Linked DNA regions of Oryzias latipes. The protein of the gene in region 2 purifies or fractionates together with the protein of the main gene of each other region. This does not show direct contact. Links are inferred from orthologs where the notes say so. Each region holds a gene or a part of one and is shown on either strand. Other genes may lie near its edges. The genes, in order: ecsit, ppp2r2d, ppme1, ppp2cb, ppp2ca and cdca4.

Evidence for each region.
Region 1: the proteins of ppp2r2d (region 2) and ecsit purify together in Homo sapiens (affinity purification with mass spectrometry; 3 studies listed by BioGRID and IntAct, counting the BioPlex papers as one, with this or other methods). This does not show direct contact. The link is inferred for Oryzias latipes from reciprocal best matches to the Homo sapiens genes PPP2R2D and ECSIT.
Region 3: the proteins of ppp2r2d (region 2) and ppme1 purify together in Homo sapiens (affinity purification with mass spectrometry; 4 studies listed by BioGRID and IntAct, counting the BioPlex papers as one, with this or other methods). This does not show direct contact. The link is inferred for Oryzias latipes from reciprocal best matches to the Homo sapiens genes PPP2R2D and PPME1.
Region 4: the proteins of ppp2r2d (region 2) and ppp2cb purify together in Homo sapiens (affinity purification with mass spectrometry; 6 studies listed by BioGRID and IntAct, counting the BioPlex papers as one, with this or other methods). This does not show direct contact. The link is inferred for Oryzias latipes from reciprocal best matches to the Homo sapiens genes PPP2R2D and PPP2CB.
Region 5: the proteins of ppp2r2d (region 2) and ppp2ca purify together in Homo sapiens (affinity purification with mass spectrometry; 8 studies listed by BioGRID and IntAct, counting the BioPlex papers as one, with this or other methods). This does not show direct contact. The link is inferred for Oryzias latipes from reciprocal best matches to the Homo sapiens genes PPP2R2D and PPP2CA.
Region 6: the proteins of ppp2r2d (region 2) and cdca4 purify together in Homo sapiens (affinity purification with mass spectrometry; 3 studies listed by BioGRID and IntAct, counting the BioPlex papers as one, with this or other methods). This does not show direct contact. The link is inferred for Oryzias latipes from reciprocal best matches to the Homo sapiens genes PPP2R2D and CDCA4.

Annotation. Positions count from the first base shown.
Region 1 is NC_019876.2:29,029,971-29,034,588, reverse strand, and holds the start of ecsit (evolutionarily conserved signaling intermediate in Toll pathway, mitochondrial), read left to right. Parts: upstream 1-1,471; 5' UTR 1,472-1,692; coding exon of another isoform or gene 1,693-1,717; 5' UTR 1,718-1,748; exon of another isoform or gene 1,749-2,258; intron 2,259-3,348; exon of another isoform or gene 3,349-3,356; 5' UTR 3,357-3,443; intron 3,444-3,584; 5' UTR 3,585-3,646; coding exon 3,647-3,778; intron 3,779-4,500; coding exon 4,501-4,618. Other genes in the region: eml3 (echinoderm microtubule-associated protein-like 3), read right to left, coding at 1,693-1,717.
Region 2 is NC_019873.2:19,563,311-19,568,162, reverse strand, and holds the start of ppp2r2d (serine/threonine-protein phosphatase 2A 55 kDa regulatory subunit B delta isoform), read right to left. Parts: upstream 3,200-4,852; 5' UTR 3,023-3,199; coding exon 3,016-3,022; intron 2,829-3,015; coding exon 2,754-2,828; intron 1,372-2,753; coding exon 1,274-1,371; intron 1,180-1,273; coding exon 1,014-1,179; intron 942-1,013; coding exon 829-941; intron 749-828; coding exon 571-748; intron 453-570; coding exon 288-452; intron 185-287; coding exon 15-184; intron 1-14. UniProt on the Homo sapiens protein: Substrate-recognition subunit of protein phosphatase 2A (PP2A) that plays a key role in cell cycle by controlling mitosis entry and exit. Involved in chromosome clustering during late mitosis by mediating dephosphorylation of MKI67.
Region 3 is NC_019872.2:16,425,080-16,429,731, forward strand, and holds the start of ppme1 (protein phosphatase methylesterase 1), read left to right. Parts: upstream 1-1,538; 5' UTR 1,539-1,721; coding exon 1,722-1,813; intron 1,814-2,468; coding exon 2,469-2,562; intron 2,563-3,113; coding exon 3,114-3,206; intron 3,207-3,345; coding exon 3,346-3,403; intron 3,404-3,816; coding exon 3,817-3,868; intron 3,869-4,606; coding exon 4,607-4,652. UniProt on the Homo sapiens protein: Demethylates proteins that have been reversibly carboxymethylated. Demethylates PPP2CB (in vitro) and PPP2CA. Binding to PPP2CA displaces the manganese ion and inactivates the enzyme.
Region 4 is NC_019867.2:193,322-198,149, forward strand, and holds the end of ppp2cb (serine/threonine-protein phosphatase 2A catalytic subunit beta isoform), read left to right. Parts: intron 1-19; coding exon 20-58; intron 59-1,247; coding exon 1,248-1,418; intron 1,419-2,069; coding exon 2,070-2,243; intron 2,244-2,320; coding exon 2,321-2,410; intron 2,411-3,157; coding exon 3,158-3,319; intron 3,320-3,408; coding exon 3,409-3,527; intron 3,528-3,639; coding exon 3,640-3,712; 3' UTR 3,713-4,172; downstream 4,173-4,828.
Region 5 is NC_019872.2:4,039,811-4,044,385, reverse strand, and holds the start of ppp2ca (serine/threonine-protein phosphatase 2A catalytic subunit alpha isoform), read right to left. Parts: upstream 3,184-4,575; 5' UTR 2,152-3,183; coding exon 2,050-2,151; intron 1-2,049. UniProt on the Homo sapiens protein: Catalytic subunit of protein phosphatase 2A (PP2A), a serine/threonine phosphatase involved in the regulation of a wide variety of enzymes, signal transduction pathways, and cellular events.
Region 6 is NC_019880.2:21,571,893-21,576,742, reverse strand, and holds the start of cdca4 (cell division cycle-associated protein 4), read left to right. Parts: upstream 1-1,853; 5' UTR 1,854-2,096; intron 2,097-4,485; exon of another isoform or gene 4,486-4,850. UniProt on the Homo sapiens protein: May participate in the regulation of cell proliferation through the E2F/RB pathway. May be involved in molecular regulation of hematopoietic stem cells and progenitor cell lineage commitment and differentiation.

The DNA.
Region 1 (4,618 bases), on a different chromosome or scaffold from region 2:
ACCCGGCCCACTGAAAAGGGTCTCAGAGAGAGACCCCCCCCCCCCTTTTTTTTTCTTTTGCATTATTATTTTTTTAGGCTGGCCACGTGATTGAGACTCATGGAAGCATGGAAAATGTCAATAAAGCTTTCCCATTAAGATTTCTCCATTGTGGGATAAATAAAGTTATCTTATTTGAATTGAAATGTGAGCCAAGCCAAAAATGTTGCTACTGCATTGAACTTAGGAAGTTGATCAGAGAGAGCAGACAGGGTTTTATAGGCGAGCCTCCTGGAAACATCCAAGACTGGATTATAAGGAAAGAACACAAAAACCTAAAGAGACTGATCACATGAGTCATTTAGGAGATTCTGCTCCACAACTGAAGTTGAACCTGAGATTGTGCACGGACAACAGAAGCTCTATTTCTGTGAACAACTACAGAGATTTATGTGGTTATTATTGATTTTCTAAAATCTAAAATACTGTTACTTTATATTTACTGACTTTTTATGTAAAGAACCCAGAGAGGATTATTTAGTAACAGATCGGCTTGTTAACATTTGGTTCTGTGTGGCTCTCAGTTTACATTTAGGCCCCCCTGCGACTGTCACACTTTCTCTGTTTCAAACTGACCACGGCCCCCATCAGAGGATGGAAACGTCTCTGAAAAGTCTGGGGACCCCTGCGTTAGAGGTAAGACTGAGATGGTTGGGACATGTCCAGAGGACAGACTGAAGGATGCTGAGTCTAGAGGAAGACCAGAGAGGAGGACTCTGGATGAAGGAAGACATGAAGGTAGCTGCTGGTAGAGGATGCAGGAGACAGACAGAGGAAGCTGATTGGCTGTGGAGACCCTGAAGGGAAACACCCAAAGGAAGAGAAGAAGATGAGTGGATTGGAGTACACACCCATCGAGGTATTTTGACGTTATTTCTGTTGTACAGTCAGTACTCTGGTCTAAACGGAGGAGGATGACAGACGTGATGGACAGAATGAGGCCTATAGGGGAAGTCCACATCCTCAGGTGGGGTCTCCGCTGCTCCTGACACCTTCAGCCAGAGTTCTGCAGGAGCTGCAGCTCATTGATGCAAAAACGGAAACAAGAAGCGCCTCCAGCTGAATCTAAGAGCCTCCAAATGAAAGCTGCGGGAATCTGAGCGCACGAGACGTTCCCAGACGTTTAAGGCATCAGCACAGAAGGGCCCCGCAGGCCCCGCAGAGGCCCCAGATGTGCAACAAAAGCCGCTTCTGTCTGTCCCGTGGAGCGGAGCCCGACCCGCTGCTGTCATCCGGGCCGTGTTTGCTGATCCGAAAGTGAAGGCATTCCTCAGAACCGCCTTCAGGTCATGAGATAAAGCGCTGCTTCCAAACCGCAAATATGACTTCAGCCCCGCACACCCACGCACGGCGCTGCGCCCGCGGCACACATCTCTGCGCCTCGCTCGACGCGGAGCTTTACGCGGCCGTTTGCAGGTGAAAAGCGGGCTGAAGACAAACCAACTACTGTCAGAACCGAACCGGAGCCAAGAAACGGAAAGAGAAAGTTGTGAACAGAACCCAAACAAATGTTCTGAAGTCCTCCACCAACCGGACATTTACAAAAAAACTCCAGGATGACTGCTCCCCGCAGGAGCAGTGGATCGGAACCAGTCAGTCAGAAGCAGCGGGGCTGGCGCTAAAGTTCGGCTGGTTCGGAGCAGAACTACTCACCCAGACTGTTGGTGGAGGAGTCCATGATCCGGTTGAGAGGCGCGGTGCGGCCAAAGGTTTGTGTTTTTATACTTTAAGGTGTGTTTTCCATGCTCACGCGGGAGTGTCTCACAAAGGCTCCAGTCAACTGCGGGCGCTGCAGCACACCGGAAACGTGAATGCCGCTCACAGCCGCGCGCTTCACGCGCCAGGAGGAACCCCGCGAGCCCTGCAACCGGATTACCGACTCCCAAACTGACAGCAGAACTCACAGGGATCCATCAGCGGGACATACCGCTGTCATGTCAGTGCTGCAGCCCCCCAGCCCCAGAAACCCCCCCGGACGCTGACAGCCAGAGCGAAAAATGTTAGTGTGGAGTTTTCAGCTCATGCAGCGCGGCGATGCCTGCTGCTGCCTCAGCGCCGCTGTTTCTGTCGCCCCCGCGTGGCGTCATCCGGAACTGCATGTTGCTGAATAAAGCATCTGCTGCTGCTGATCCCGTTTGATGTCCGCCGCTGGGAGGATCACATGACCACGTTCAGCCTCACCAGACTTAACCAAACTCCCAAAACACAATCCGACTACCCCCCTCCCCCCCATTGTCCTTCCCTGCAGCTGGGTAAACAGACAGGAGGATCAGATAATATCTGAATGCATCAGACAGATTTCACATCAAGGAGAAATGAATAAAAATCCCATTTTTGGGCTCTTCTGACAATAGTTACATCACAGTTTCTTGGTTTAAAAAACAGATTAAATTCTATGAACCATTTCTCTGGTCCAGCCTTCCAAAATAAAGGCCCAATACACAAATAAAAAGGCCGTTTGGATTTGATTTATTTCAAGCGATCAAAACCGAAAAGACAAACAAAAGACATTTATGTATAGATCAAGTATATCAAACTCAAGCTGATTTGTCACGAAGTGATTAAAAAATCTAAAAAGTAAAACATATAAAAACAGTTGCAAACATATATTCCTTTATAGTTACTCTTAATCATAAATATTTGCACTTATATAAACAATACACGACATATTAAACCTATTAAATTAAAATTTATTTTCCAAAAGAGTTTAATTATTTGAGGAGTAAGAGAAAGCTAATGAACATAAACCCACCCCTATTGTGCTTTATTTAACTTGTTTTTACATATTTATCATATTCTAGTTTGTAACTTCTGACAAAAAGACATGACAACATTCCAGAAATTAATATTACTCAAACATTTAGTGCTCAACGATTATTGCATTAATTATCGTTTGATAAAACTTCCCTCAAAACTATCAAAGCAAACCTGTTTTTTTAACGGCTTTCCACTTTTTTCTAAGTTAAATTCTTCTCTACTAAACTTTGGAGGCCTCTCCTGACTAGCTTTGGGGGGGGGCACTATTACTTTATGAATGACATTTATTTATCTTCCCTCTTGCTGAGCTTTTGTCACATTAAAATCCACCTGGTTGAACACTTGCCACCAGCCTTGACAGGAGGGTTTGGGGTTTGAATCTCTGCACCTCTCTGCCTTTTCCTGCTGCTGCTAAGACGTATTTTATGTTAGGAAGAACGGTTAGTATTTACGTAAACAAATATTTACATTTTCTCTGTCTAAAATCACCGGGCAGCACAGCGCGGAACTTTCTTCTCCGGACCTGCGGAACGATTGTTGCTGTTTTTCTCTGTTGTGAGGGGGAAGGAAAAAGGTGCCGGACAGAGGACGTTGGTTCCCCGGTAAGCTGCCGCCGTGTGGTTGTTTTGAAGGAGACTCGTTTTCAGGTGTGTTTTGAGTGTTTTCTTGTCACTTTGCTTCATTTTTTAATCTCTTCCGGGAGTCACTGATAACTAGTGGGAGACATTTTGGTGCTTGTGATCCTGGCACGCGCTCAGACCTCCCTGAGTCCGTCTTTCTTTCGATAGCCGTCGCTGTCTGTCTGTCTGTGTGGATCTACCATCTGGACGGTGGGTTTCATGGCTCCACCATGAAGGTTTCCCGCTGCCTACAGCGGCTGCAGGATCTGCGGCTGCTCCGATGCTCGTGGCAGACGGCGCGGGTCCTCCAGCCAGAACCCCACGGTCCGCGCGCCGCGCGGAGCAACCCACAGCAGCACCGGGTGAGTTCCGGCCCACCCCCTCCTGACGGGCCCTGAGTGACAGGTCCGAGATCAAAGGTCCCGTCTGTGTGAGTGACAGGTCCGAGATCAAAGGTCCCGTCTGTGTTTTACCTCCTGAAAACAGGAATCGCTTCTTTCCAGCGATTCATTTTTAATGATCAATGATTTTTCACAATACAAATATGTCAATCAAGTTACAAATGGTTCCAATCAAACGTTCATAAAAGGAAAAAAAAAGTAGAATTATTTCAAATTAAATGTTTGTTTTGCTATTTTTAAGCAAATGGATTGTATTCTATGTGAGGTTCTTGTATTTGTATTGTTACTTTTGATTACAGTGACAAAGAACTAGTGTAAAAGGTGCAAAAGACTCAGTTTAGAATAAAATTAGAATATGATGTTTGTCCACATGAATATGTTTTAACAGATTTAATTGGATCTCCCTCTGTTTTTATACAACGGTAGTGACAGGAGTTCTGCTGTCAATTCAGTTAAAGGTTTCCTCATTGAATTGAATTTTAAAATATCATCCTTAAAATTGAATAATAAAACTAATTTTTCTGAGTGTTAAATCATATTTTTCTATTATCTAGAGATTGCAATAAAATGATTTGGACTGATTTGAATAATAATTTCTTTATGTCTAGACCGTAACTCTGAAGGAGACTAAAGAGTCTCCTGACCTTTGTGACACGTTAGCCCCTCTGGACGCTCTGTTGCAGGTCCTGAGGGGATTCCACTGCAGTCCCGTCTTCGCCAAGGACCCCCGCCTTCCCGGACGCTTGGTCGGCGAGGACGACAACAAGAGGCAGACGTCTCTGGTCGCGCACGATGACCTGT
Region 2 (4,852 bases):
ATGGCGGTGTGTACCTGATACGTCTCCACTGGCCTGTTCTCCATGTTCAGGTCCCAAACCTTGACGGAGAGGTAGTCACGTGTCATCATGTAGCGTCCGCTGTGACTGAACTTCACGTCTGAGATGGAGGAGATGATCTCAGAGAAAAAGGATCGGCTGCTTGGATCCTCAGGTTCCTCAAAGACTGAAATGCAAAAAAAAAACCCAGAAACAACCGTTAAAAAACAAAAAAACAAAGGTTTTGATTTTTTTTTTAAATTTACAGATAAAATCCAACAGATATTTACACTTGGAGTGTCTATCGCAGAGTGCTGCCTCTCGCATGTCACACAGGCGGATGGTGCCTTTGCTACTACTGTACACAAATACATTGCATTGGTGTGGATGGCACTCGGCAGCTGTGATTACTTCTGTCAGCTCTTCCATGTTGGCAGGCTTGATGTCTACAATATCTGAGAACAAGCCGTTAAGGAACTGATGGTCTCAGGATTGTGGAACAGAATCACACACAAAAAAAACAAAAAACCATCAAATGAAAACTTTCTAGAGATATTTAAAAGAAAAGGATACTAAAACTTCTGTCTGTGATTTCCAAGTGCCATAGATTTATTCTTAGGTCATCTGCGGAGAGGTAAGTTTCGTGATCGCTATTTACAGAAATGGAATTAATGTGATAGGTGTGCGCGTTTGCAAAGATCCTCCGTGGGCTTGCTTCTACCATGAGATCCATTGGCATCAGCACAGGTACCTGAGACACAAAACCTGACAAGTTAACAACAAAGTACTTCCAAAATGAATGAAACGATGAAATGGTGGGATTTTACGTACCCGTAAAGAGGTGATTCTAAAAGGATCTCGGACTCGCCCATCTTCATCTTTCAGGTTGTAACCCTCCGCCCGTTTATCTCTTTCACTAATTTTCCACAATTTGATAGTTTTATCTGAGAGAGAAAAAAAACAGGTCAGAAAGCCTCAAAATACACAGAAATTATGGAGAAAAAAAACCCTCCTACCATTTGTTGAAAGTAGAAAGTGAGCAGCATTTTGTTGGGGTAGCCATCTTATTTTATTAATTTTTTCCTCAATTTCTAAACTTTTCAAATAGTCAAATTCTGGCTCGTGACTCTGAAAAGTGCTATAGACGTTGTACTCCCCACGCAAGTGTGGACGATTCTTAGACTGAAAGAGGAAGAAAGAGTGGGGAAAATGAAATGACGACGTAGACTTGTGCGAACAATGATCGTAAGCGTGGTGTTTTGTGAAGAAACCCTACCTCCTGTTCATGCTGAAAAATCACTACTCTCCCGCCTTTGTCTCCAGTTGCAAGTAATTCTCCAGAATAGTTGAACTCAACGGTTGAGATGATGTCCGCTGAAAAACAGACACGAGTTACAGCAAATCTGACTAAAATATCTGTTTTTTTAGCTGTTATCTTTTAGTTTTTAGTAGAAAATAATGTAGAAAATATGAGTCAAACTGGACTAACTACAACTGGTAAAATGCATTAATACCAATCTATTTACAATAAAGTTTTAGCACCAAATAATACGTAATTCCTACATTTGTGAGTATACTCATGCAAATACAAATCATGTGATGTAAGCATTTTTTGCTAAAACGTTTAATGCAGAAAACATAAGTAATTAGAAATAGCTTAGATCTGTTATGGTTTAGTTTCATCTCACAAAACAACTGTAGATATTAGCTTAAATCATTTAGGTTTGAGCTCAGTTTGAAAAGCGTCCAACTGCTGCTTTGCTTTGACAAAAATAAAAGCCTTTAAGAACAAAATGTAACTCTGCATTTGTGAGACTGGAAATACAACTTGACGCTTCACATCAGTGGAATGAAAATTATGTAACATCTTCAACAGAAGAACGTTGATATTTGCTTGTATTTATGCACAACAAAACACAAAAACAGATGGAAATTCATTATGAATTGCTTGGACGCACTTTAACCCTAACTGTGACCCTAAAATATGTGCGAATTGACAGTTTCCCCACCTGAAAGCAAAAAGACTTTCTTTGCTTTTAAAAAACGCTTAAAAGTAACATTTAAAACGTGCAAAAATAATTTAATTAGCATTAATCGTAGGCATAAAAAAAAGGTACATGGGCGTGTGACTGAAATGCTATATTTCTGTAAATATACATCTAATTTTTAGTGAAGAGGAGCATAATTTTGACCCTAACACCTGGATAGTTTTTTATTTATTTAGTGAACATGAAAGAACATAGCTTAACATTTTGTAAATTTAAATAAATACATAAAATACTTTAGTAATTTCAGCCGGAAGGGACAGATGAATAACAATAAATAAAAGGTAAAATAAAATATCTTGTATATTTTTAGTTTTGAACAACATTTTCCAAACTTTATATATTTAAATAAAACGTCGACAACACAACCTCGATACGCACACGTTCGACAAACAAACCATGTTGCCTCCACAATTTATAGACGCAGTACATTGACGTCATGGGCACGGTCGCTCCCCTTTAATAGTTTAGCAAGCACCTAGCATTCAGCTTGTTAGCAACACACGGCGATTAAAAGGGCGTTTTCCCAGGTGGCTCGCAAACAGACATTTATCGACACCAGCTGCCCCGCTCGTACAACATGTGCGTCCATCCCTCAAAAAGTCACACACGGCGCATCACACGTGAAGACCCACACAGCCCCATCATCCTGCTAGCTTGACCACCGTTATGGGGGTTAGCATAACCGCCTAGCTAGCGTAAGCTACTTACCTTCCGCAACATCTTCATCTATCGCTCCTTTTACTTGAGAGAAACACCACTGGAAATCATTTCCTCCTGCAACTCCTGCGAAAGAACACAGCGGTAGTTAGCAGCTGTAAAACGCCGCGTTTGGCGGTGAAGATGGCCCGACAGTGACACAGTTTGACAACTTAGCGCTGCCGCTGCGCTGGTGGTGAGCTAACTCTCAGATTCAGGCCATCACACCAACCAAGAGAGCCGGATTCTTCTGCTCCCTTCAAAAGTAGCTTACCCGCCATTGCTTCATTTAGCAGCTCTTGTTGTACGAAACTTCCAAGACCTGATCGACCAATGCGGCTTGCTCAGAGAAAACAGATAACATCCACAATCAGTGTGCAGACTCGGCTCCAGATCTGTCAAGACCACGGAAATTATCCGTGATTTTTTTTTCTTCCAAAATGGCGCACGGTACATGGAGAAATGACGTCATGCACACATGCCACATCCTGGCTGCATCCATCCTCTCCCGTGCATCACCTCACAACATCTGCATTTAGCCTTTTTTTTCCCTTTCAGTGCTGCGCTTTATTACACGGATACACACACTAATGTGCGCAAATAATATCTTTAAGTTCAGATCCACGTTTTTTTTTCCAGGTTTATGAATAAAATTTAGATCATTTATATCACTTTCAATCAGTTTTTACTTATTGTAACAGTTTAAGTTTTAATAAATGGAAAACAAATCTGCATTTACAGAAAGTCTTTCTCAATTGGTCATAGGCAAGATTAACCTGACTATATATAAATAAGTTTGGTAACATAAAAGTTTAAGGAAAAATAAAATAAAATATTGACAAAAATACATTAAAAAACTTTTGATCTTTCAAAGAAACTATCGTGTCATTTTTTTACAAGATGTTTTATTTTGCATGACAACTTTGAGGACTACCGCGTTGATTGGACGATCCATCAGTGACATCTAGTGGCAAAAAAGGTGAAAAGCCAATTGACATTACCTGTAAGGACCACAAATGCTGCATTTTGTGGAACTGAACCAATGCAAGTGCCCTGTCTGTCTCAGTTTGATATGGATTTCTTTCTCTCATAATTCAAAGTGATGTGAAGTTTCCATAGTTTAAGCATAAACAAGCCATTTGCTTAAAAGGGCTACTGGAGGCTTTAACAGCTTGCCACTCAGATGTCTTCTTAAAATTAAATGCATAGCCTTTCTTATTGCATGTTTTGCACTTTGTATGAAATACTGAATTATAATAGACGTATATAGTTATGAGTAAATGGAACAAAATAAAAAAAACAACTGAACATATGAATTAAAGATATGTATTTGTTAAAATTGAAATTTTATAGAAAGGGAAAGAACAAAAAAAGGTAAATGGCGTAAATTTATGTAGTGCTCTCTTTATTACCTTCTTAGAAGGCCCAAAGTGTTTGACAGTCACAGTCCCTTTCACCCATTCACACACACTCACACACTGATGGCGGCTTCGCTGCTGAAATCTGGTGCCATCCTAATACCTCCTCGAACAATGTGAGGTTCTGTGCCTTGCTCAAGAGCACTTTGATACAATGGGAACCCGATTTCTTTTAATAAGAGGTTGACCACTCTATCTCTGCACCACGGCCGCCTCGACTTTTCAAAATGTGAACAAATCTGTTTGCCCTTATAATTAATAAGTGAATATAATAAAGTTGAACACACTCATACAATAGTTCACTATTTGATTAGAAATGTATTCAATAAAACTATAGGAATTTCTTTTTAGTAAAGCTAACCTTTAATTTTATAGAACACTTCTTGAAAGGCTTTACCTTTCTATTTGATGAAAACACTTATAGAGTACATTTGGAGCGCTGTGTAAAAAGAAAACATAAAAAGGGGAAGTTGGTCTGAAAATCCAACACTTGACCTTATGGTCATCATTTCTCGTTTCCATCTCCTGTTGAAAATTTCTAACACAATAACAGCTCAACAGAAACTGCAGAATGTGATTAATCCTTGTGCTATCTTAGATGACCCCACCCTTACTTTGACGTGTTCTCCCTACCACGATAAAGGTGGATAAAGGGGGAAAGATTTAACGTAATCCATGGACACCAGTGAAGAT
Region 3 (4,652 bases), on a different chromosome or scaffold from region 2:
CTCCTGCCAGTCCAAAAGTACTGGTAAAATATTGTTGAAAGTAGTCCATGAAAGTCTGGTCCCAGTAGTCCTCTTCTCGTCAGGATGCCCTGGTTTGCACAAACCTATCTGAGCTGGCTAACCAGGTTGGCATTTGATCTGGCATGACTTATGATTAAAGCGTTCTCTAATTGGACAGCTGAAAGCTTGTTATCAAAAAATAGTTTATATGGGTCAATGGCAAACACCTTTATGTAATGTCACGTGACACTTTCTAAAGTTTAAAAGTAACATCTCCTAAGAAAACTTCTTTCTGTATACCCCCACACCTTTTTTTCACATTTAAAATTTGGTCTATGTTATAAATTCTAAGGTATCAATGTAATAACTTCACTACAATAACATACTGACGTGTTTATTGCAAACACAGACAAAGAATTCAACTATCTTGCAGTTTTTGGTGATTTATGGCTCAATGAGTTCCAAGCAGCTTTATGTTCTCCAGATAGAGCTGCCGTTCTGCACATTTATTTACTTTACATGCAGTCCAAGACAAGGTTTGTTAAAAGAACAATTTATTTTTACAATCATTCAATTCAAATAATAATTTGTGGTTGGTGATGTGATTCATAGTCGATATTGGTTAATTTTAAACGGTCCGATTTGATCTAAGTCAATGGCCTAAAATGGATCCAGGGAATCTTTAACAAAAAACTTAACCAGTGTGACTGAGTGATAAATACCTGGATACTAAACAGTGCAGGTGAAGTTTTCCAGATTCCTTGTATTTCTTGCAAGATAATCAAGTGTAAATTAAATATAAGAACAAACAAACAAGTAAACAAGAATTTAAGGTAAATCCATTCACATTTTAGTTTCCTGAAGTTCAGCCCACTATTGTTACTCCACATCAAAATAATACAAACAGAACCTCATTAGAACATTCTATCATACTGTACGGTCATATGTCTTTCCTAATTTCAAAGTGGAATGATGGACTGTATTTCTGCATTTTCCAACGTTGATTAAAATGGCATTATTTCATTTTGAAACAATGTTATGATGCTACAGGTGATTTTATTTGATTCAGTTAACAACTTCCCTTAACATATCGATCTGGTTGGATTGTAGGAGTATAAATCGATTAATAGTTACATCCCTAAATATTATCAGCTCAGTAAAGAGTGAGAGAAGGAAAGACAAAAGTTCAATTTTTGTGATTCAGAAAAAAAATACTGTTAAATATGTTGTGAAAATGCGTATAAACAAATTGTGACACATCACATCATCACTGTAATGAGTGAGGGACTAGCGTTTAATATTAACATGCCTTACAGTGTAAAAGGGAGGGAGCAGAAGAGAAAAGACTTTTCAGCCGATTACCAGTCTAATGGACGACAACTTGTTGTTTTTAAGACACGATTTTAATCATTGAGAAAAATGAATATTTTATAAAGCACAGAAAAAGCTTTGATGATTACTTGTTCATTCGTTGGAGATATGAATGTACTTTTTTTACCGCTAGGTGGCAGCACTTTCAAAAAATGAGTAGAAAACCACCTCAAAACTACGCAGAACAAGAAGAAAGACGGAAAATACAAAGAAGCCGTTAGCCTGTATGCTATAGCGATTCATCAAATGTTTGGTTAACGTCAGTACAAGTGTCAGAAACTATCTTATGCAGCAAAAGAAAGGGAAGGCTATATTAGACATCTCTTGACAGAGCGCTCTTTCCTCACAGCATGGAGAAACAGTTGCATTTAAACCTGCTGGCCTCCAGACCTCCAATGGCTGGTCCTGGTGGATTTCAGTCTGGCTCTAAAATCAAGATGGGGTGAGAAGCTAACAGTTCATAAAACGTTAAAGGGTTTTTTTATATCTACATTTGCGTGTTATTCTTCATACCTCTTGTCAAAGCCATACTGTGAACTTTTGTCTGAATAATAGCTCGCCGAAAAGCCAGACACAGCTGAAGGAAAACCAATATTTAGTTAGCATTTAGGCTAGCCTAGTTACCGCTTATAGAGTAGGCACGACCCGCCTTCTGCAGCTGCTGCAGAGGTTTTTTTATACATATAACTCCTTTGAGTTAACAAAGTCTAGCTGATGCTGTGTAGAGCTTATCGTTTTCTTTAAGAAAAAAATCAGAATATATATACGTACTTGTTATGTTCTGATCCAGGAGACCCCCGTTACGCCCACCAAAGGATAAACAAAATCTAGTTTACAATACAGTTTTACTGATTTAATCCAAAAGTGTAATTACATTCTTATGAAGATGACTCTTTCATTAACTTCGTTAAAGTGGTTCGTTTTCTGCATAAGTCGTGCCTCTAAAGGGGGCAGCTGTGTGTCAGCCAGCAGAATAGAAACAGTAATTTACTAATGGGTAATATGGAGTCAAACCACAGTTTGGAGGTACAGATAGTATGTATATTGTACATAATGATTTCCCCCTCATTTTTATTTGTATTTATATTTTTTTATAGACCTGGCCGGAAGAAAGATTTTACTCCACTGCTTTGGAGTCAGTACTTTGAAACCATGGAGGATGTTGAAGTGGAAAATGAAAATGGCAAAGATATATCCTTCCCAAAATCTCTGTTTCACAAGAATGCCGTGACGATTTTTTGTTGTTTTGATTTACGCATATCATGGAATTAAGATTCAAATGCTTTTCAAATTCTTCGTCTAGGCCAGGGATCTGCAACCTTAAGCAGTAAAGGAGCCGTTTGGGCCTGTTTCTTGCTGATCAAAATCTCATTGGAATCACAAAGTCTTATTTTGCCCTTTAGGAAAAGTTGATACTACTTTATTTTTGGCTTGAATATAGAGCAAAAATATAAAGTGAGAGTAGCTTTTTCTCAAAGTGTGAAATTTTTTCTTTTTCTTTCTTACTTTTGACAGAAGCTTGTATGACTTCCTTTCAAAATTAGACTTCCTGTGCCGAACAGGGTCATCCTATTGCAACTAATGTTCTCCTAAAAAGGTTTTAAACAACGCAACAGCATCTTTTTTGTGCAACATGAGGCTCCGGAGCCACATTGCAGACTCCTGGTCTAGGTTTTAGTTTTGCTTAGCGTTTTAATGTAGTGCTTACAGCCTTGCGTTTTGTTTTCTTGACCGCACAACACATTTTCAGAATTTACTGCAGTGGTTCACTTGGTCCTGTGCTGTTGCTGCTCCATGGAGGAGGCCATTCTGCACTTTCTTGGGCAGTGTTTACTGTGGGTATCATTACCACTGCATAATCCCCTATTCTTAAACAGTAATCGTACACCAATATAACGAGTAATAATAACAATATGTGTGTTGCAAGACTGCCCAGAATACAGATTGAAATGACCTCTGTATATGTCTCTACAGTCAGTCATATCCAACATGATTACCTGTAGGGTGGTTGCCATGGACTTGCGAGCTCATGGTAAGGAAAATACTCTGTAGGCTTTGGAACAAATGACTTTTTCCCATTTTTTAAATGTAAAATAATTTCTGTAGAACTGACATTTTTCTGCAAAAATGATGGAATAAGTTTTCCAATCATTACTCTTTAAAAAAAAAAAGAAAACTAATCTGAGATTGTCACGGTAAGATGAGAAAGCTTGGGAATCCTTTCAGGTGATTTTTAACTAACAATTTTATCCACCCTGTAGTATATTCTCCAGAAAGACTAACATTCTCATTCTCTGCAATACATTGTGAGGAATTTTAACTTTTTTTTTTTTTTTTACTCTACACAAATGTGTTTATATATAAATTTAGAACCAATGCTTTGCTTTTTTTTTTTTGTTTGGTAAGCGTAACAAGAAATTCTGAAACTCGTCTTTAAACCTGCAGGTGACACCAAAGTAAAAAATCCTGAAGACTTGTCGGCAGATACCATGGCAAAGTAAGATACCGTTTTGTAAATACTATCTCTTTTTGTCTGAAGTGGGTTTATAGTTTGTTTGTTTGTTTGTTTATTGCTGGCTTATGTCCAAGAAATATATGAAATCCTATAAACTGGCTATATATGGAGTGATTAAACTACCAAAAAAAAAAGATACGTTTTGGGTTTTTTTATGCAATTGTATTTTTCTTTCAGAGTTAGTAATGTACCAAGTTAATCTGTTTTTCTTGTAATTATGTATTTCTTGTAAACTAGTAAATGAAAAAGGGAACCAATTGTTGCCACCTGCTAGACTGCTGCTGATTTGGAGTAATATTGTTGGACACTGTCAAGAAAATGAAAGATTTTCAAAATGAAATAAAGTGTAAGGAATTAAGTACAGAAATGCAAAAGCAAAACAACAACACAATTTTTGTGTATGTCGTCTTTATTTTAAAAAATCCTTTTTGTAGCATTTATCTTTTTTGACGCTACTCTTCAGATGTCACCTCCACTTGTTAATCCCGTTTCTTCTTCTTTAACTCGTTATATTTTTAGTACATTTATGTAATCGTGCCAAATTAGTAAAATGAATGAATTTCTGGCTGGGGCGAGGGAGGTCTGGGCATCTCTTTTTAGACTGCTGCCCCCGCGACCCGGTCCCGGATAAGCCCAGGAAGATGGATGGAATGAATTTATTTGCTCTGCTGTGTTTTTAAACGGTAGACACCTTTTATTTTCTTATTTGTTTGTTGTAAGGGATGTCGGTAAAGTGGTGGAGGTGCTCTATGGCGAGAATCCACCT
Region 4 (4,828 bases), on a different chromosome or scaffold from region 2:
TCTTCTTTCTCCTCTTCAGGCCAAGGAGATTCTGACCAAGGAGTCCAACGTTCAGGAGGTGAGTTCCAGCTCGCTAAACCGAATTCTGATCATGTGCAAACAATTAATTTTAAGGATTACGCTCATATTGTTGTTTTAGACCATTTATGTTTAGAGAATGGAGGTTTGATGTTCCCAGCTCTGCTAAGTCAGTCCGCCGGTCTCTCGCGAAGCGCAGATGTGAAAGCAGCAGCGAGCAAAGAGGAGCTACTAACCCTGCTCAGAAAAAAACACTAACACGCACCGCCAGACGTGCTCCTGTCACATGACTTCTGCTAGTTTCCTCCGTGTAGCTTCAGTTGAAAGAGATGAAGCAGCAGAACATGTGAGGATTTGTACCAGAATCCAGGACGACCTGGAGGACAAAACTGCTGGATTCACAGCAGCAACAGAACGTTGATAAAAAGGGTGGATTTGGAGACAGCGGGTCGTTACACACTGATGCTACCATGCTATGATACTAAATGCTACCATGCTATATGCTACCATGCTATGATACTAAATGCTACCATGCTATGATACTAAATGCTACCATGCTATAATGCTAAATGCTACCATGCTATAATGCTAAATGCTACCATGCTATGATACTAAATGCTACCATGGTATGATGCTAAATGCTACCATGCTATGATACTAAATGCTACCATGCTATGATACTAAATGCTACCATGCTATGATACTAAATGCTACCATGCTATGATACTAAATGCTACCATGCTATGATACTAAATGCTACCATGCTATGATACTAAATGCTACCATGCTATATGCTACCATGCTATGATACTAAATGCTACCATGCTATGATGCTAAATGCTACCATGCTATGATACTAAATGCTACCATGTTATGATACTAAATGCTACCATGCTATGATGCTAAATGCTACCATGCTATGATACTAAATGCTACCATGCTAAATGCTACCATGCTATGACGCTAAATGTTACCGTGCTATGACACTAAATGCTACCGTGCTATGATAATAAATGCTACCATGCTAAATGCTACCATGCTATGATGCTAAATGCTACCATGCTACATGCTACCCTGCAATGATGCTAAATGCTACCATGCTATGCTAACGAGCTGTTCCGTGTGTCATCTACATGTGATCACGGTTTAGTCAGACTTTGTTTTCACGTAGCGGATTTTAATACATGACGGATAAATGCAACATGACTTGATGATGACGGTCTCCTCAGGTGCGATGCCCGGTGACCGTGTGCGGCGACGTTCACGGTCAGTTCCATGACCTGATGGAGCTCTTTAAGATCGGAGGGAAGTCTCCAGACACCAACTACCTGTTCATGGGAGACTACGTGGACAGGGGCTACTACTCTGTGGAGACGGTCACGCTGCTCGTCACGTTAAAGGTAACCCTCGTTAGCAGACCTTCCTGCTGAGAGTGGGAGCGCCTGAGGAGGTGGGACTGCATCTGATTGTTGTCAGCAGTCTTCTGTGGTCACACCTGCACAACTGTCAGGTTTCTGCCAAATGGTAATATGGGAGGCCGTACCTGCAGTTGGAAGAGGTGTGTTTGTGTGGCAGAGCGGCAGCGGCAGTGTTGTGTGTTCCTTTCTGTGTGTTTCTATGTTTCCGTGTGTGTTTGTGTTTCTGTGTTCGTTTCAAGGTTTCCGTGTTTCTATGTGTCCGTGTGTGTCTGTGTGTTTGTGTTTTCTCTGCGAGTTGGCGGCTGTTTTAAGAAGAAATGTTCTTAAAGGTTACCTGTTTTTAATCTTAATGGTTGTCCGTTTTGGACCGCAGACACTTCTCCTGAATAAGGAAATTAATCTTGAAGTCGGTCTTTTCAGTGGCTGTAACTCCGCCCACCTCCTCAAAGTTTGCTGTAAAGGCGGAGTCAGAGGTCCCGCCTCTGCGTGCAGCTTTGTGGTTGTCGTTGGAGGACTTTAGTCTCGTTAACCAGATCGCAGAGGTCTTTCCTCGGTTTCTCCGGAGGTGTGCGATGTGTGATGCTGTGGAACCTGCTGGCAGCTGGCAGTGTTCATGTGAGGTTTCATGCGCAGGTTCGATTCCCAGAGAGGATCACTATACTGCGAGGGAACCACGAGTCCCGTCAGATCACACAGGTCTACGGATTCTATGACGAGTGTCTGCGGAAATACGGCAACGCCAACGTCTGGAAGTACTTCACAGACCTGTTTGACTACCTGCCGCTCACTGCGCTGGTGGACGGGCAGGTGAGAGCCGCTACACCCAGACCGTCAGGCCATGGAAGCAGGAGCTCTACAGACACTGTCCTTTGCTGTCCTTTCAGATTTTCTGTCTCCACGGCGGCCTGTCTCCCTCCATAGACACTCTGGACCACATACGAGCTCTGGACCGCCTGCAGGAGGTCCCGCATGAGGTACACGCTCCTCACTGGACGTCCCGCTCAAGTGTTTTGGGCCTTACGTCATTCCAATCCTTTGATTTGGAGTTTGTGCCGATACAGAGTCCTGATCCAAAACTTTTGTGAAGTACTTTAAAAAAAAACAAAAAAAAAAACAAATTAATGAACAGATCCATTTTTTCTTTTATTCTCCTCCTTTTATCATTCAACACTTCTACGATTAAGTAAATCCTGCAGCTATCTAGTACGAATAGTTAACTATAAACTAGTCAAAACTGCTGATAATCATGGCAGAAAGTTTGGGGACTGAAGCTTTAGTATCCTCAGAATTGTTGAACATTTTTAATCGGAACAGGAAAAAATCTCAGCGCCGTTTTCAATCCTGATGGTTTTTCTCTTAAAATCCTTTCGTAGGTCGTTGTTTACGTGACACTTGCCGTCAGTTGAAAACATTTTATTAAGAGTCATTGACCCGGAACTCGAAGCTGTGAAAAATTGTGGTGATTCGTTGATGAAATGCAGACTTCTAGTAGAGTATTTATCTGGAATAATAAGCTTGAAATGATGGTATAATCGGGTTAGGGTTATGTCCGATCGGGAGACACGTCTGATTTCAATCCAGTCTGCAACCGATCGATCAACTCCGGTTTGCGATCACGTGGTCGGAGCGGGACAGCCCCGACAGCAGCGTCCTCCTCTGCTGCAGAGCAGAAGGTAAGAGCTGCACAGGTTGGTGTTAATCTGACTCCCCCCACCCCCCAGGGCCCCATGTGCGACCTGCTGTGGTCTGACCCGGATGACCGCGGTGGGTGGGGCATCTCTCCCAGAGGTGCTGGCTACACTTTTGGACAGGACATTTCTGAAACCTTCAACCACGCCAACGGCCTAACTCTGGTGTCCCGCGCCCATCAGCTGGTCATGGAGGTGAGACTCCTCATACACACACACACACCCCCGGCTGTTAGGATGGATGGGCCGTTTGTGATCATGCACCCCCACCCCTCTGTCTGCAGGGCTACAACTGGGGTCACGACAAGAACGTGGTGACCATCTTCAGCGCCCCCAACTACTGCTATCGCTGCGGCAACCAGGCAGCCATCATGGAACTGGACGACACCCTGAAGTACTCTTTGTAAGTCCCACCCCCCCGGGTGTCTCTGGATGGAACATTCCTAGAGAGTCCAATCATCATTTCATCCAACGTGTCTCTGAATCGCACCTTTACTTTCATCCTCTCTCTACAGCCTGCAGTTTGACCCCGCCCCCCGCCGCGGCGAGCCTCATGTGACTAGACGCACTCCTGACTACTTCCTGTGAATGTCCTATTGTCCCCCATAAGTCATTCACCAAGCCCCGCCCCTGCCCCACCCCTCTCATTTTGAATGGAGAAGATGCATTGAGCAGATTCAACAGAGCGGTGATGTCACTAAAGCTGAGCTTCAGCCGCATGTTAACCTTCATCTTCTCCATCTGACATGTTTGAAAACAGGAGAATAAAAAAGTACCGACGTGGACCAAATGTGCCATATTTTGATCCTTTTCCAACAACTGTTTTTGTTTTTTAGAGCTCACTATATCCCCGCCCGTCTCCACCTTCATCCATCTGTGCTTTCTTTCTGTTGCCAGATCAGTTTAAAGGAAACGTAGGAGAGTTTGCTTCAGTAGAACAGCTCTGAGTTTCAGCTGTTAAGGCTGCAGCCAGCAGTCATCTCTACTATATTACTGTAATTTCAATGAAGACAACAGACATGTGAAATAAAATGTCCTATTGACAAACCGCTGCTGTCCGTCTGCTCTGTGCCAAACAAACTGACAAACCTGGATGACATCACAGGGGTTCACTGACACCTGGATGACATCACAGGGGTTCACTGACACCTGGATGACATCACAGGGGTTCACTGACACCTGGATGACATCACAGGGGTTCACTGACACCTGGATGACATCACAGGGATTCACTGACACCTGGATGACATCACAGGGATTCACTGACACCTGGATGACATCACAGGGATTCACTAGCTGAATTTACATGGACAAAAGTAATCGGAAAGAACGCCTGATCGGAAGAAAAATGCGTCATGTAAACACGCCGTTCGTAATACTCTGACTTGTTCGGATCAAAATTTCTTTCCGATCGAGATAGGTGGGTTATGCCGATTGTGGATTCGATCGTTGTTCATGTAAACAGTTCATTCCGATCGTGTGTCACTACTGCTCTGGTTTGACGTCATACATAGATGGTGTTTTGCTCCATAGAAGCTTTGGACCGACCTGCTGCGTAGATTTATATGACAGCAAGGATGTTTACTGTGGGACTCATTTACTTTTCTGGTATTTTCAACACTACTGCGCATGCCCAAATGATTTAGTGTGACCTTGTGAACGGAAAAAGGTTTTCTGATCCCATGTGCACGGTTGATATTTTAA
Region 5 (4,575 bases), on a different chromosome or scaffold from region 2:
ACAATCATTTTGAAAGACAAATGGAGATTGAGAACGGTGTGTAATTTTAAAATGATGGCTCACAGGGCAACCGAGACAATTCTGTTTTTAATTTAATGGGTGCAAGCACAAGACCTGGGGGGGGGGGGGGGGGGGGTGTGCAATTTGAGTATTTCCTCACATATTTTGAGGAGCTAAAATGGGGAAAAGCTCAAACAGAAAAAGGTTTACAGCTGGAAAACATCAAACCAAACTGGAACAAGCTGCTTTCAGTCAAGCCCAGATGCCATGAAGCTCCAGATGCTAACGTTCAACAGACCTGAGCTGAAAGAAAAAACTCCATCTGGCTTTGACTTCAACCAGTAGAATATTTGAGAAAAGATAAGTTTAAAAGAAATCTCATTGGGTTCAAAGAAATAGCACTTTCACTCTACTCTCAGGACGAATTTTTCCTCTAAACCTAGAGACATTCAGAGCTAAAGATCGGCACAGAGATCGGGGTTAAGCCGCAGCTCAGACTGCTATAGTGTGCAGAATCTGTTGACCAGCTAATAAATAAAGCACAAGCATATGTAGACTTCACATCCAGCAAATGTCAACATCAGGGTTAGGGGTGGATAGGCTGCTACTTTATTAGCAAAGTCAGCAGCTTCTCAGCCTGGAAATGGTTTGCTAGCACTAGCACTCCACTTTGCAGGATGTATGACCCATCAAACAACCCAGGGACAAAAGGAAAGCATGCATGCATCCTTTCTAAAGATGAACAATAATTAACTGGTTGCCTCCTAACCATTATCACTACTTAAATGGAGAAAACCATTAGAACTCTGAAAATACTCTTCATTCATTATGTTAATTAAAGACCCACTATGATGAAGATCCTGTTCTTTGGTGCTTTAACATGTTCTTGTTCTGTGATGATGGAGGACATATATAAAGAAAATGTTGCTCAGAATTGCATTTCTGGGTTTTTCTTTTGTCAAATGATTGTGAATGAGGAAATGATCATCGGCACACAACCTCCCTGCTCTGCTCCGTTCTGATGCATCCACTTGTAGACAACTAGATCCACGAACGTCTTTGTTTTCCTCGTCTGGGCTGGCATTCACCCCAAAACTGTACAGCTGGGTTGCTCAAATACTGCTCAACCATTTTTGTTGCACTTGTAATGTTAAGTTAGGGGTGTGAGTGGCTGTTAGCAAGCAGGAGAGCATGTAAACAGTTGTTTGATAGGAAGTGGGGGCGGGGTTGCTCTGTGCCAACAGTCACAACTGAGGCAATTTTCTAATGCCACACTGCACAAACTATGTACGCCTCACCTAATGCCATAATTATTAGTAAAAAGAACCCTGGGAACGATTTTACAAAAGATCAACAGATGGGCGGAAGCGGACCTTTAAACTGCATCCACTGCAGTGAAGCGCTTTCAATGTTTATTTCTGCACCCAAAAGCCAGACTGGAAGCTAAAGAACCCTAAATGAATAAGAGCTTAAAACGGGATACAATATAAATGTGCTCTAAACTTTATATTCAGTGAAGATAAAGGTTAACAACTAAAAGAAGCTGACTAAACCATTTACGTCCAAACAGCCTGAGTTGACCAGAAAGATGCCTGATTAAAATGATGGTTTTACTGCTACAGAGTGGGGTTACTTTCAGAGCAGTCCCAAAATCGGGGGGCTTATTTTAGCCCCCGGGATGGGGGGTGGGGGGTAAGTAAAGCAGACTGGGGCTTTTTGCTGCAACAGCTGCCTTAGGGAGATGCTGCAGTCACCGTGGCGCCCGCGAGGAGAGCAGGGAGGGGAGCGCCGCTTCCAACGGGTCTGCACCCCGGTAAATCCCACGAGCTGCCCTCCGAGCGTTATTTCCTCCCCCCGCGAATGAGCAGACCGCTCAAAACCATCACAGAGTGGGGTTTGGCAGTGAGGGTCTAATATCGCGCGGTGAAATCTACACTCCTTCTACTATAGACGCCATCTTAAGAATCTCTGAAAAAAGCCACAAGGAGGAGGAGGAGGCGCGAGACCAGACGTTAACAGAATTTGGGGTTTAAAATAAACTCGTCTTACCTTTTCACACAACGTTTTCACCTGTCCTTCGGTTAGCTGTTTGCATTCGTTGAGCTGCTCGATCCACTGATCGAGTTCTTTCGTGAACGCCTTTTCTTCCATTTCTGCTGTTTTTTCTTCACCGACAGGCGCCGCGGCGGTTCACCAATGAGACTCCGACTTCCCTGAAGCTTACAAAACGTTGACCGCAGGAGATGGTTTCACTCCGACCGACAGAGGCATGGACCTCCAGCTGCCAGATCACTATGAATTGACAGAAGAGGGGCGGGAGACAGCTCTGTTTGGCGATCCACCCTGAAAAATGGTTCATGTGAAGACGTCAGTGGTCATACGCTGCATTTCCGGCGAAGATCTTCAAGATAAAAGCACCACGCACCAGACTTACCCTGTATATAATATTTCAACTAATTAGTGGTTCATCTGTTTTTGTTTCCTCAACACCTATTCTTTTTCCTCTATCAAATTTTTTTTCAAGATATTTATTTAGAAAAATCACGGTCAAATTAAAACAAACACTGTTTCTTGTTTCATTTCATTTTTAAAATGCTTATTAAATTAATTTGCTCTGAACAAAGTAAATGTAATATCGATTTATCAAATGTATTACTAAATTTCATCTGAAGTACCTTCTTGTTTATTACTTTCCTGTTGGTTTTTGCAAATGTAACTTAATTTTCTTAATGAACGATTTGCCTTTGTTAACTTTATTTTCTTTTGGGAAAAGGTTTTTGCATAACTAAACAAAATAGCAATTTGAATAAAAATAGTTACATAAAACTAATAATTTAATAGTGTAAAATCATTGCAGTAATTAAGCTGAAACTGTAAATAAACTAAATCAATTAAGCATCTTTGGGGAAAATCAGCCCTGATAACAATTTATTTCCAAATTAGCAGTAGATATACTACTATTCTTTTTAAATATCGACATTTTTTTTTCTTCAAAATCCACACAGTTGCTTAAAACAAATTTTACATTGTGTGAAATATCTAAGTAATTTTAGTAAAGAACATCCATAGACGGAGAACAGACACATTCTTAATCATTTCTTTTGTTTTAATTCTTTTAATTTTTTCAAATCTGACATACAGCATCTGAGTCCATTGCACAAGTTTTTCAAGTTGGAAAATGGTCATTCTGTAGAAAATGTGCAAGTACCACAATAAATATTAAACAATAAGTACTAAATTGTACCTGAGTGCAACCCTTATATGAAATTGTTCCGCTATTCATCCCTAATGTTAACTTGTGAAAAAGGTGGATGTTGTGTATGTTGAGCCAGCTACATTTTAGGTTTTTATTTGTGTTTTTGCTGGATTAAATTGTTATAGCTGACACAAAAAATGAGGGTCTGATCATCTGCAGTGATGTTTGGCAGCTAAAAAAAACATTCATTCGTTCATTCATTCATTCATTCATTCATTCATTCATTCATTCATTCATTCATTCATTCATTCATTCATTCATTCATTCATCTTCTTAACCGTTTATTCCCTTTCGGGGTCACGGGGTTGCTGGAGCCTATCCCGGCCACTTGGGCGTAGGCAAGGGAAACCCTGAACTGGTCGCCAGTCTGTCGCAGGGTGGAATATCCTCAATCAAACATCCATTTACTCTCACACTCACACCTATGGACAATTTAGAGTTGCCAATCAACCTATGTAGCATGTGTTTGGACGGTGGGAGGAAGCCGGAGATCCTGGAGAGAACCCACGCATACACAGGGAGAACATGCAAACTCCACACAGAAAGGCCCCCATTGATGTTCAAGTTCCAAGTCCCCCAGCCAGGACTTGAACCGGGGGCCTTCTTGCTGTGAGGCAAGAGCGCTAACCACTGCGCCACCGTGCAGCCCGCTAAAAAAAAAAAAAAAAAAAAAAAAAAAAAAAAAAAAAAATTGTGGTTATTGTGCTTTTACTTTGAAAAACGCACTTCCGTTCTTGTTTGGTTGCTTGTCTCACATTTGACTCAGCAGAAAATGGAGTTCGATCCAAACAGAGACCCGGACGGATGACGACAGCGCTTCCTCTGCTGCCTCATTGGCTGTTTTTTTTAAAGAATGATTTCTCAACCTGCATTACAGAGAATACATCATCCTCCACAAAAAACATGAACTTTGTAGTTTGGCCATGATGTCACGGGTTCATGAGCAAGGCAGAAGCAAACAGAACGCAAACGTACCTGTTCTAAAAATGATGTAATCCGGTTCTAGCTTAAAACATGAAAACCCTATTTAAAAAATTAAAATAAAGTCCAAACGAGTTATGGTTTGAGGTTGTTTTGTTTTTTTAACGATTTTATTACTCTTGTATAGTAAAATAATAAATGACTTGTCAAAAACCTGCTTAACTGACTAACATAGACCTTTTCTTTACATTTTTTTACTACAATATGACTATTAGAGGGGCTATATCAGAATTGATATTCTATGTTTTGTTTGGTTCTTTTCTTTTTTTAATGTTTATTCATTTTTGTTTTTATAAGTCTTGAGTTCAGGTTTTTATTTTGAAAGAACTCCTGCAAAT
Region 6 (4,850 bases), on a different chromosome or scaffold from region 2:
GATACATGGATAAAATGAATGGATGGGAAAGCGACATTACATGTGTTAGAGGTGACAGATGTAATGAAATGATGTGAATGAGTGAATGAATGTAATGCAACCACAGGGTTGCGTGAGTACAAAAAAAAAAAATTGGTACTGGGACACCGTCCACTGCTGTTCAGAGCTGTGGTTGCAAGAAGGAAGGAAGCCTCAGACCGTGAAGGCCTCACCCTCTCCAACCGCTTCCATGTCCTGTCAGTTCCAACGTCTGACAAAGTCCTGGTAGCCGCTTCTCCACTCAGCGGTAAAAATCCTCGCCCTGTCGCTGCAGCTTGGACCAAGAGAGAAAGCCACCTGGAGCTTCATCTCCTGCCAAACGCAGACAGCTCCTAAATGCCTGTTCACACCGGGACGAATTTCGCGCGCGATATTCGCCGACGTTTAACGCCTTGTGACTAAACAAAGGGCACCAATGTGAGTGTGCACACCGACGCGAAAAAACGCCACGCGTCAAAGCGTCACTTTTTAAAAAACGCCTTGGGTTCGTTTTTTTGGTTTGACGCGTCGCGTCGAAATCTATTCGACCAATGAGAATGGCGCTTTTGCACACGTCTCTGGAGCTTCTGAAGTCACAGTAAAACACAACTTGGGGGCACTCAAACACAAAACTGCCTTTCTAAGCACACATACCAGCGAAGAAGATAGACGCCAAGTAGCGTCTACACTGCCGCGAAGAAATAATGACGGACATTCTAAAATATCCCCGAACCAAGCACTAGTTGGAGCAACTGGTGCTTGAAATATTCATGTTTTCCTTGTATTATTCTGACAAGCGCGTAAATACTTGCTCTCTTCTTCTGTATGAAAAGCGACTTTAAGAAGAGTGAAGCTGCGCAGCGCCACCTTGTGTACAGGAGTATTTCTGTTTACATTAAGCGCCATCTAATGTCAGGGAATGAAATTGCATGTTTGCTCGGCTCATCGTCAGCGAAAATCGCCTGGGTGTGAACACAAAAGACGTGGCGAAAAACGCTGGCGAATAACGTCTGGCGAATATTCGTCCCGGTGTGTACGGGCCTTAAGAGACGCAATGAGTAGAGGCCCTGACACCCGCTGCCCTCCGAACGCAATCCACGTCCCGTGGGATCGAACAACGTGGGGTTTCTATCAGCGATCTTGATCGGAGCGTAGGGTTCAAAGACCTTTCCTGTTTGTGGTGTCCTGCCAGCCTCATCGGCCGCTTCCCCTTCTGCTACACTAGCCAGTTGCCCGGTGGGCAACTGAGCTGTCCACTGAAGCCAACGTGGGCAAACACAGGTGGGGCCACATTTTCTGCCCACTTTTAAATCATATAGGGCCCACTTGGCCTTGCTGGCTGGGAGTGGGCTGAACTTTAGGAAACTAGAATGTAAATGGATTTGACATTCATTCTAGTTTACTTGTTTGTATGGACACATATTTCATTTAAACTTGATGATCTGGAAGAAATCCAAGAATCTGGAAAACTTCACTGTTCAGTCGCAGAAATGTCTGTCTGAGTCTCACTGCTGGAAGTTTGGATGAAGATGATCTGGATCCACTTTAGATCAGAGAATCGGATCGATCAAACTGAACCGATATTGATATTGTCAACCACAAATAATCGAATCGTTATTAAAGTGAATCTACTCCCCCTAGTAACAGATGTTCTTAAATCACAAAAAATAGAGCATGAACGTTGTTATTGTGTCAAATGTTTTTTAAACATACACATATGGATCACGTCTTTTAAACACTTTTCATCCTTCTGCCAACGTTCTTTACACAAATGTCGTTTTGCGCCCCTTGGGCGTGCGTGCGCCTCGTCGTTTTAGTGAACGTGTTTCGCCGTCCCGCCGCGTATTGCGTGTTTTTGCGTGTTTCGGAGCGGGGCAGACAGATGATGAGCGCGGCGCAGGCCGGCATATGGCTGGCTGGGTCCCCTCCCCCTCCCTTCCTCCGCTCCGCTCCGCAGCAGCAGGACGGAGCCGCTTCAGTTTTGAAGCCGTGGCATGAATGATCTCATCTGAACCCGATCTCCGCTCTCCCTGTCGTCGATCCTATGACCGAGACAGGTAAAATAAGGCAGAAACGAGGTGAGTGCGGCCGCCGTGTTTTTACAGCCGGGCCTCGCAGGGACCGTCGGGGACGTTTAGTTCACGGCCGCCGCGAAAACTCCTGTTTTTGAGAAAGGAGGAAGGACCGCGGAGGGAGGGAGGGTGGGCGTTCGGAGCGTACTAGCTTACCGCTCGCTAGTTTACACGTTATAAAGAGGACCGAACAGGGACAGAGAAAATGCCATATGTTCGATTCCGCCGCGAAAGGCCCGCTTGTGACCATTGGGGGACGGTTATCCGGCGCCAGTCCACAGACCGCATTCAGAGTAGCGCCGCGGCTAGCCGGCTAGCTGTTAGCCGCCAGCGCAAAATGGCCTCATTGTCGGCCGCTGGAAGACAAAGCGTGCGGCGGCGTCGCCGGCGGCTCTTTACCCCACCACTCCCACCGCCGTACTTGGCGGTCGGTACCAGAGCGTGGTTGACGGAGGGGAACCGACCGCTTTGTGGGGCGCGCGCGGACGGTGGTTTTAATTGATTAGGCGGCGCGGGCTGTAAAAGTGCCGCTGCCTTTTCTCTCCGCGGTGGGGGATGGGCCCCGGTAGCAGCCATTGACGTAAAGCGCGGCTGCATTTTGTTTGGCCCCAGCTCTAAGTCTTCACTGTTTACATGAAAATCACCTCCAAAAACGACACGTTTTCTCCGTTTCTGGACGTGAAAGGAGGCATTTCCGGGTGTCTGTCCACATCTGTCTCCACACCGTGTGGCGCATGGCAGCATTTCCCGGTTAAATAAAAGACGAAGTGCAATAATATATCATGAAAAACAAGATTACATCCTTATGTGGAGGTTTCATTATATATACACGTCCACTTAGAACAATTGAGCATTTATAGCAGACAAACAAATGTAAAAATCAATACAACCGCATTATTGGAACCTTCTTGTGCAAAGGGAAGAACTTGATTAGCAAATAATCTTCTAAAAACAGTCGACATGTTATAAATGTAAACGTTGAAAACATAAGTCTAGACACATTTTGTTTTACATTACTAGGAAGTGAAATAAACTAAGAACAAATCGATTTATTTGGCAATTACTATAATTATCAAATGTGTTGTTAATTTAAATGTTTTATTTTCCCACCATTTAAAGGGCTTATATCATGCCAAATGAATGCTTTTTAGTGTATTTTAATGTTCATTCCTCACAAAAACATCCCTAAAGTGGCTTTTTGATCCAGTCACTCATTTCTGAGTATTCCTCTAAAAACCGGATCTCTGAGCCCCGGCCCCTCCCAATCCATGAAAACAAGTGGGTCCTCACATTGTGACATCACAAAGTGAGGACCCGCCCCTTCCAGGAAGAGTCTGAGCTGCCAGCTCCGCCTCCAGGCTAAAAGACACACCCACTTTCTCAGTGGAGCTAGTGGTGATCGGCTAAACAATTTCATTTTTTTTATAAACATCCATCTTTGGAAAAGTTCAGATGTTTGACGCTCTGCTGAAGCCAGCACTAGGATGATGTCATAAAATGGGTGGCACCCACAGGGAGAGAAAGGCGGAGCCTCTGTGATCGAGTCGTCTTACATCCTAGTAGGAAAATAAGCTGTGAAAATAGTGTCCCAAAGGTAATATATGATAATAAATATGGATATAGTTTACTCTGAAAGGCTTTAGAAAAGAAGGACATAGACCCTTTAAAACCAATTGGGTAAGCCTAACTCCCGTGTGTCACCCATGCTACACCAGGTCCATTTCTTTAATGAGATGACTAACTATTTTCATTAGTTCACCTTTTGGCACATCCCATTAGGGGTCGCCACAGCAAATCAGCTTTCATTGAAAAAAAAAACTGGTGGATAGGCCCGAATTTCATACTTATATATATATATTATATATATATATATTATTATATATATACCATTGTCACGTTCAGGACGAGCCATTGACCTCCAAAAACTGGACTGAGTGAGTGTGACATCATCCACAGAAAACGCTTTTCTTATAGCCAAATAAAGTCAATTCTGTCAATTTTGGCAATACAGACATCACCATGTTGGAACCAGATGTTGTCGGTGAGCAGTGATCGGTCGGTCTGAGTCGACGTTTCTATAGTAATCACTCTCACCAATCAGGAGTCAGCTCGTTGGAAGCTACACCCCTACCACTTGAATTCATACGAAATCTGAATGTGGGTAGCCACTGAGGAATCTTATCTGTCAGTTTATAATTTGAATAACTTAAACAAAGGAAAAAATATCATGTAGAAAAATTGAGGATTATTAGGAACATTTTTTTTAAAAAAGGTATCAGAGCCAGAGCGGTTCTTCTGACCAATAGTATGACGGAGTAACAGCTGTTTCCCTCTGGAAGTCTGTGGGATTTTGGCTTCTTGGAGCCAGCAGGTACTTCCTGTTTGGAATGCCAGAGGGGGAGGGGCTGCTCGGTCCAGTTCTCTTATACAGTCAGTTGTACAACCAGTTTTTTTTTATAAATACAGGAACTGAACATTTTGTATTTGTAAGTCAGTTATGTCAGTAACACTTTGAATTTCAGATCTTTTTTTTTACCCATAAAATCTAAATTTGATCCAAGGTCTACTAAAACCTTGGATCAAATTCATATATATATTTTTTAGATCTTTTAAATGTGAAATCACTGAGAAAACGGCAAACTGTGGTTAAAACGGGGTAAACGTGTGGTGACTGAATGTGAACAGACACACCGCCTGCTGCCACGGCTCAGTCCTTAACAAAAAAAACGCAAAAGCTCTATTTTATTCAACAGGACCAGT